Coturnix japonica: one gene and its partner. The protein of the gene in region 2 interacts with the protein of the main gene of each other region in a pairwise test. Links are inferred from orthologs where the notes say so. Each region holds a gene or a part of one and is shown on either strand. Other genes may lie near its edges.

Region 1 (4,333 bases), on a different chromosome or scaffold from region 2:
GGGAAGGCCCTCCCGGTCGAAGGCCACCGGGCCTCTCGGAAGGCCCCGCACGGTGGTCCCGGGGCATCGAGGGGAGAGTGGACTCTCCCACTAACAGCGGGGACGGCGAAGCCCCACGAGTGTCGAACCGAGAGGACGCTCCTGGTTCTCAGCTGCACGAGGAGAACGCGGCCGCCACAACCGCGCCCTCCCCGCTGCGCGCACCGGGAGCCGCGGGCCGCCCCCTCGCCCCCGCCCGCTGCCCCCGAGGCCGCTCAGAGGCGCGGCGCGGCCACTTACGTGTCGTAGTTATCCCGGAAGCCTTTGGCGAAGGGGTTGTGGTCGATTTTCAGCTGCGTGATCTGGGGAAGGGGGAGAAAAGCGAGGGGTGAGAGCGGGAAGGTCCGCCGGATCGCCGCTAGGGCGTGGAGATAACGCGGCGGAGTGGCGTGCCCGCAGACATGGCAAAGGGAACGCTGAGATTTACTTGATTCTAAAAATCACGCTCGATATCCCACTTAACACCGTATTGTCAGAAATATCGTTACTCGATCTGCGTCCCATCATACAACCGGGTGCGGGCAGAGCCGCGAGCTCCAGCCGCGTTGAGCGCACGGAGCCCGGGGCCGAGCGGTCAGGGCAGGGAGCGGGGGGCACCGAGACCGGGGACGGCGCCGCGGAGCGCACATCGCGGCCGCGCTAAAGGAGCCCCTCGGGGCACCGGGAAACGCCGCTCTCGGCCCCGGGAGAAGGCAAAGCGGAGGGCGAGGAGAGGGGGAGAAGCTGCCGCGCCCTGCGGGGAGCGCCTTACATCGGTGTTCTGGTAGGCGGTGACCGCGATGAACTGCGTCTCGGGGAAGGTGAAGGTCTGCACCCTGCCCGGCTGGTTGGTGTCCTCCGTGCCGTCCTCGTTCACCTCCACCACGTGCAGGCGGGGCTGGTACTTGTGCAGGGACTGCAGGACCACCATCTGTCGGGCACAGGGACGGGAGCGGGGAGAAGCGGGGATCAGAACGGGGAGGACGGGGCCGGGAAGGACCCACCGCCGCCCGCCCGGAGCGCCTCTGCCCCGGCAGCCGGCCACGGTAGCGTAAAATCACGACTAAAACACGTCTATACTCGTCCGATCAGGGAGTGCGGGGTTCCGCCCAATACAACAAAAATAAGCGGAGCCGTTCCCCCACTGACCTGCCCGTTGTTGTTCGATGCTCCTTTATTGTTGGTAAGTTTGAGCTTCCCGAAGGAGATCTCCTGGCGCATCCAGTGCGCTCCCGTGTTGGGGGAGTCGGGGTGCATGTACACGCGGTTCCCTGGGCAGAACGACAGAGCGGCATCGCGGCTCGTACCGGGCCCGCACAGCGCGGAGCCCCCGCGAGGGCAGCGCCGATTCCCCCTTTCACCGCTCGCACCGCGTTCCCCCATCGCCCTCCGCTTTCTCCTCCACCCTCTCTTTTCTCAAAGCGCCGCCGACCCTTCCACGCGCTAGTCGGCACACAAAGGCTTTAATTAATCGTTCTCACCTACATATGTGTCGAGAAAAGTGTTAATTGGAGAAACTTGCCTTGTACATTGGTGTCCGCCTTGCCGCAAGGAACCCATTTGCCTCCCTGAAACCTCCAGTGGTTGGGATCCGCCAAAATTACATCCACAAAAATATTGTAGTGAGCCGTGGGGTCGAGACCAGAAATATTAAAACTTAGGAAAGGGAACATGCGCCTATAAAAAAAAAAATAAAAATAAAAATGAAAAAAAAGGCAAAAATAAAAATTTTAAAAAAAAAATAAAGGCAAAAAGAAAGCAAGCGGCGACTCGCGCCCGCGGAGGAGCCGTCCCGCTGTGCCATCCTCGCAGCTCCCGGCGGCGAGAGGGGAATAAAATCCCGGCTCGGGTCCGTGCCCGGGGCGCAGCGCTGCGCGTAGGGACGGGCGCGGGGCTGCCCGGGTCCCGGTGGCTCCCCCGGGGTGGTGGCGGCGGGCGGCTCCCGCGGCGGCTCCGCGCGGCGGCTGCGGCGGCTTACCTGCCCTGCTTGGTGATGATCATCTCCGTCTGGTGCCGGTGGAATTTCAGCCAGAGCGGCCTGTTGCACAGGTAGACCTGAGCCTTGCCCGGCACCAGCCCCGGTTGGGCGGAGGAGAATTGGTAGAACGGGGCGCCCTGGTAGGAATGGCCGTACTGCTGGGGGTAGGGGTAGCCCGGCGCCGGGTAGCCCTGCGGCGAGGAGTTGGACAGGAGGCTGTTATAGGCGCCGTTGGTGATGACGGGGTGGTGAGCCATGTAGCGGCTGGGGCTGGCGATGGAGAAGGCCGGGTGAGCGGGTCCGTGCTGGCCGGGGTAAGGGAACATGGCACTGGGCGCGGAGGCAGCAGACTGGGGCTGGCTGGACTGAGAGAGCAGATAGCGATCTGCGGCAGATCCATCGAAACTGTGACGAAGCTCGGAGACCCCGTCCAAGACGGGAGAGAGTTTATTTCTCTGGACGTCCCCTGGTGTGTCCTTGGAGTCGGGAAAATTGTCTGTATCTGACTGATTCGTCATCCCCCTGGTAATTTTTTTCAAAGGTGAACTTCTCTCCAGGTTGTCAGTGGTCGAGATAATGGGATGATCATGCAAGGCAAGCTCGGATCCGCCTGCGTGTGGGTAACTGCTGCTCACATTGAGAAATTTCTTGGAGAGCATGATAGAGGGAGAAAGACAATGCTCCAGCTGCATCGCTCTGCACCGCAGCAATAACCCTTCCGTCCCTGGAGCTGAGGGCTGCTCGCTACCAGAAGCGAGACATCCTGGGACCCTCGGTAGGCAGAAAGCACTTCATCCACCAAATGCTTCCCAAACGTTTGATTTACTTTTTTTTTTTTTTTTTTTTTTTTTTTTTTTCCTTCCTTCCCTGGGAGAAGAGATTGGCCAATTGACACTATGCAGCAATCAGGAAAGACTCACTTTTGATCTCGCTGCTTGTGGAGAGGATGAAACGGCTCCTGCCATTGGTTAACCGCTGTCAGTAATTTAATTAGATAGACATTAATTAGGATAATCACCTGGCTCCCGGTCGCGACGATCATGGCAAATTGAAGGAGATGATTTTATTGTGAGATAGAAGGAAGGCGAAGGGGGGAAGGGAAGAGCGTGTTTGCTGCTAGAGCTCGTTATTCTGTGACCTTTCCCGCATTTATGTTCTTTTTTCGACCGCGGCTGGAACGCTGCCCCGCGCTGCCCCAACACCGCGTGCCCCCGCCCCGCCTGCGGGGACGGCCGCCGGGCCCCGGGGCTCGGCCCCAAGTTGAGGAATAGCGAGAACCGTGCAGCCCGTCCGCCCCGAGGCGCCCGCCGCGCGTTCCCGGGTTCCGTAGGAAATAAATATCGGGGCGCTGTAACGCCGCGGATTATCAGCCAAACGACGCGGCCATCCGCTCTTGTTCCGGGGCTCGCGCCTCTCGCTGCTGTTTTCCCCCCACCCCCCGGTGTGACTCGGTCCCGCACACGGCTCTGAGATGGGATGGAGAGCTTCGGTAGCGCGTTGCCGGCGCGGTTCGGCACCTCGCGGAGCGCACAGCTTCCTCCCGACGGGCCGCGGCCGCAGCGCGGAGCCGCCTGGGCCCCCGGGGCGGAGAGGCGGGGGAACCTGCGGAAGGCCGCGGTGCTCCCGCTGCCCTCCCTGGGCGAACTGAAAAGCTGTTAAAAGCCCCACTTGCGTCCGTGTGACTATTATTTTTGCTCCGGAGGGGAACACACTTGGTTAATTTTTTTTACTATTTTCCCCTTAGCGCTTTGGACCCCAGGGATGCTCCCCACCACTTCTCTTCCCTGCTGACACCAGCTTCCAATTTCACTCCCGGATAAAGCAACCAGGGCCGCCCCACTGTCGGATGCACAACGGCTGCAACTTCGTGCACTCAGCCCAGGGTGTGCCGGCAGCACCGCGACCCATTACGGGGCAGGTTCAGACTCCCACCTCTTGCAGGCATTTGGGAGTCGCTCAGCAGCTCATCCCAGTGGCTGGTGTGCAAGAGAAGCTATTTTGCACACGCTGAGTGGAAATTGTTGTAAGAAAATCATGCATGAAGCAAAAAGCAGGTGTTTGCTCACAGTCTGGTGGTATGGCATAGGCAACTTTCTGCACTGTGCCTTCCCCAGTTGGTGCTTTATCGCTCTCAGCCTTAATTCTGCTCCTGACCCATCTCACCCATGTGCCTGCCTCTGCATTTCTCTGCTCAACCCCAGTGCAAAGGGAATGGGGTTGGATACACATGCAGGAGCTATGTCGAAACACATCTCGACCCCAGGAAATGCGGCCTCGAATTGTGTCGCTACCCCCATACGCATGCAGAGCTGCAATGAATTCAGTGGTGTACTGCCA
Region 2 (4,230 bases):
AGAATGAAAAATGCATGCTTGCAGAACTTAAACACATTAAATGCCACGTAAGAAACGATTCATCACTCTGTCATCCCGATCAATTCTTTCACATACTATTACAGTTACTGCTCCACACTCCGGCAAAAAGCTATTATCATTGTGTTTATACAAAATAAGTCTTATCAGTTTATCGCATTTGAAACTGTTTTAAGTTTATTCAAAAGCTTCAACAAACAGGGCCACATACTGCCAGCAAGGGAACACCCATAGAGGACTTATTTCTCAAGTAGACTGTATGGGAACTTTGAGATTTCTCTTACAAAGTCAGGCAAAATATTCAGTTGTTTTACGGTCCAAAATCTCTTTCCCACACCCTTTCTGGAAATACCATTTACTACTTTAAATGACAGCGATAACTACCCATTTAGGAAGGATAAATCACACGCTTTAATATTTCATGGACCTAAACACAAGTCAGGGGCCGGATGTGCTATTTGCAAGAAGCAGATTACTCAATCAATCAATAATAAATCACGGGAAGGTGCAGACGTTTAGTTGGTGTTTCACTGATAGATGTTTAGCCAGATGCATACGTAGCAACTCAAGGCAGATTTTACATGAGGCTTTCCCCATGTTGCCTAAAGAAGAGCGGGGTGCTATCAAAAATGTGAAAGCTAATTAAAGACGCTGCATCCCCGATTGCTCAGAAGTCACCTGAGTAGCACTGCAATGAAACAGGAACACTGCTCATACAACTGTACAAATACAACTGTGCCTATTAGAGGAGGGACACAACATCCATACGCAAACCCCTTCCTACCACCACTGCTAGCTTCAGTAATCCACCCTGTTCTGTTACAGTGCTCTTGGCAGCGCCGTGCTCCTACAATCCAACACTTATCTGTTAGATCAGGTTACATCACAACACATCCAGAATAATTCAATCTCAGGTATCAGCCAAAGAAGCTTCACAATTCACAGGTTCTGAACCTTGAATCCCTTTGATATTCTCAGATCACAACATCGAAAGTCAGTGGAGCCGCATCAACATCTGGATGGCTGCGAATGAGCCATTCTCTATAAGCTCACATAGTCCTGTCAAGCAGAAGCACTTCACTTTCCTTCCAATGGCAGCCAGCTCTGAGGAAGCAGTGCGTGAACTGCAGTGGTCAGCTTAAAACCACTCATGAAAGGAGCATGCCAAAAACCATCTTCAAACCACATATAATCACTGTTTTGTTTCTCGGCTACATAAGCTCCCCACGAACAACTGGCGAAAGCCCTTTCAGCTTATGACAGCAAGCAAGGCCCTCTAAGCTTCCTATTTTTAAAAGTTGTTTGTGGCCAGGGCAAGGTGGTAATAACCGTGTGAAACGACAGAGCAGAGTGCTGAAACTTCAGCTGCCAACAAAGTAACCTGCTAAGTCCAAGACGAGCATTTTAGTATAATCCTCAGGAAAGATTAATTCCAGAATATTTTTAGCCTGAGCTCTCAAAGCAGGCAGCAGCAGATAGAAACTGTGAAGCACGCTGGAGGGGAGCGGGAGGGAGAATACATGCAGAAGAACTCTTTGTTTATAATCAAAACACGGGGAATGCCGCTCTGATTGAATTCATCCTCAGGAAGAAAGAGCTGCAGGCACCCAGAGCAGCGGCTCCCACAGCAATCTCAGCTGCTCAGTCAGACACGCAGACAATTAGAAGCAGCAACACCGCTACATCTTTCACTCAACCCAAGCACAACTATAGGAGGCGTGTGGAACGCAACGAAATAAAACAAAAATAGGATTTAGAAACTGGCTGGTCACGAAAATACAGAGAGTTGGGCTCCCGTTCGGTGCCATCTGATTTGGGGGATGCTCTGCGTTTTCTTGGTGTGGTAACGCACGGAGCTGTCATCTCCACGCAGCCCACAGGAGCGTGGCCCAAAACGGGCAGCCAGAAAACGCCGGCGACCTCCGAGGTTTGACACGAACACGCATTAACAGTTGCATAAGGAGACAGGAGAGGCCAAGTTCTCCCCCTGCCTCACACGCCGCCGGGGAGCGGAGCGAAGGCAGATCCGCGCGAGCACGGGGTGCCAGGGGCACCGCCGGCAGCACGCCGCTCATTGTGCGCCAAGGCGCGGGGAGAGCCGACACCTGGCGCGGCCACCCGAGCGATAGGTGGATCCACAGCGATCCTTCTTCAAGCAGGCAACCACCGATGGGTGTGCCGGGGATGGGGAGGAGAACGGGAGGGCTGGGCAGCGCCAGGCTGCGCGGCGGCCGGCCGGGCGGGGATCATGGTGGCTGAGGAAGCACCGGGGCGCCTTCCTTTCCCCCCACCCCCCTTCCCCCCAACCTCAGGGCGGTGGGCAGCGCCGGGGCTGCCCGCACCGCGACTCAGGTGGGTGCCGGGCACGCCATCCCCGCGCTGGGTGTGTGTGTGTGTGGGGGGGGGGGGCTCCGCTCTCCCCCATCCCCTCTCCTTTTTCTTTCTTTCTCCCCCCCCTCCCCCTCCCCGCGGGACTCACTTGCCGATCACCTCGCACAGCTCGTACACGTCCTCGAACAGCACGTCGTCGTCGGCCATGGTCCGCCCGTCAGGCGGCGGCCCCGGGTGCGGGGGGAGGAGGAGGAGGAGGAGGAGGAGGAGGAGAAGGAAGCGGGGGGGGCCGCGGGCACACGCTCCCCGCCGCGCGGCGCGCTCCCCCGCCGCTCAGCGCCAACAGCCGCAACCTTCGGCCGCAGGGGCTCTCAGCTCCTCGGGCCGCCGCGCGTGTCACGCACCCCGCGACCCCACCTTCCTCCTCTTCCTCCCCCCACCCTCCTCCCTCCCCCGGTTACTCCCCGGCGGCAGCGGCGGGCGGGCGGCTGTGGCTCAGCGGGGCGGCGCGAGCTCCATGGAGGGGATAGGCGGCGGTGGCGGGCGGCAGCGCCGGCTCGATCCCTCCCTCGCCGAGCGGGCGCGCTCCCGAGGCACCGGGGAGGAGATGGAGGGGGGGGGAGGGTGGCTACGGGAGCGCGCACCGTGCGGGAGGATAATAGTAGGAGGGGGAGGGGCGGGGAGGCGGCCGTCGGTTCCGCTCCCAGCCGCGAGGAGAAGAGGCGGCGGCGGCCGCGATAGGCGCTGGCAGCGCGGGGAGGGAGGGAGGGAAGGAGGGACGGAGGGACGGAGAGAGGGCGGGGGCGCGCGCGCGCTCCCCGCCGCCGTCACGCAAAGGCACGCACAGGGGTCGGTCGGCGCGGCGTGCGCAGGCGCGCACTGCCATGACGTCATGGCGCCGGGAGGGGGCTCCGCGGGGCGGCTGTCAGTGAGCGCGGTGGGGAGGGTTGAGCCGGCTGTAGGTGTGGGGAGGGGTGCTCCTCAGTCGGCTGCACCCTGCAGCCCTGCCTGCCCTAACAGCTCCTCTGCCCGAGCTCTGCGCCTTTGTCCGGGGACGGGTAGAGCGGATTTTGTCCTAGCTTTGAGGGGCTGTTGGCGTTTGGGGCTGTTTGGGGGTTGGAACTACATGAGGTCCCTTCCAACCCGGGTCATTCTGTGATTCTGTTTTCCTGAGCTCTGAGTTAGAAGCCTTGCAGAAGAGCGTTGTGTTCAGGTGTAGGGAGCCTGCTTTGGCAGCGGGGTTGGACTCGATGATCTCTAGAGGTTCCTTCCAACCCCTACGATTCTGTGATTCTGTGCCTGAATTAGTTGGGAGCTGTTGCAGTTTCCAAAGCGTGTAGGTTTCTGCAAAGGTCGTGTCTCCTATTTGTCTGCATGGAAACCACTACAGATAGAAGGAGCACAATGGCACTACTTGTTACTAGAGTAAATTCTCAGCTATGAAACACTGTTTTTTCAATGCTCAGCACCACTAGCTATGCATTTTCTACAGCCATGAACATGAGCCTGCATGTCATGCTCCTAACAATCCACACCAGCAGAGGTGACCCACTGCCACTGTCACCACTGCTGAAAGGCACCACCCACCGCCCCACTGTGCTCACATCCACTGCTTGGTCTCCATCAACATTCAGCATCAATGAATGTCAGTGGGTGCCATTTTTTTTCAGCCTGGAAGAATTCAGTGACACACCTTTGTATGCGCTTCCACATCAGATGCCACTGTGTCACAGTGCCCCTCTGCTGCCATCTGTCATATGGCTACAAAACGGAGCAGAATTTCAGTGGGAAGGTTTGACATCTTCTGCCATACCACCAACATCTGCTTCTGATGTTTTGGGCCAACATAATCAAGTAGGAGGCATTACTTTCGGAGCAGCC

The links.
Region 1: the proteins of CASK (region 2) and TBR1 interact in a two-hybrid assay, tested with the Homo sapiens proteins (2 studies listed by BioGRID and IntAct). The link is inferred for Coturnix japonica from reciprocal best matches to the Homo sapiens genes CASK and TBR1.

Annotation. Positions count from the first base shown.
Region 1 is NC_029522.1:25,315,289-25,319,621, reverse strand, and holds the start of TBR1 (T-box brain protein 1), read right to left. Parts: upstream 2,831-4,333; 5' UTR 2,689-2,830; coding exon 1,997-2,688; intron 1,696-1,996; coding exon 1,541-1,695; intron 1,290-1,540; coding exon 1,168-1,289; intron 950-1,167; coding exon 791-949; intron 342-790; coding exon 280-341; intron 1-279. UniProt on the Homo sapiens protein: Transcriptional repressor involved in multiple aspects of cortical development, including neuronal migration, laminar and areal identity, and axonal projection.
Region 2 is NC_029516.1:100,754,611-100,758,840, reverse strand, and holds the start of CASK (peripheral plasma membrane protein CASK), read right to left. Parts: upstream 3,091-4,230; 5' UTR 2,557-3,090; coding exon 2,498-2,556; intron 2,371-2,497; exon of another isoform or gene 2,222-2,370; intron 1-2,221. UniProt on the Homo sapiens protein: Multidomain scaffolding Mg(2+)-independent protein kinase that catalyzes the phosphotransfer from ATP to proteins such as NRXN1, and plays a role in synaptic transmembrane protein anchoring and ion channel trafficking.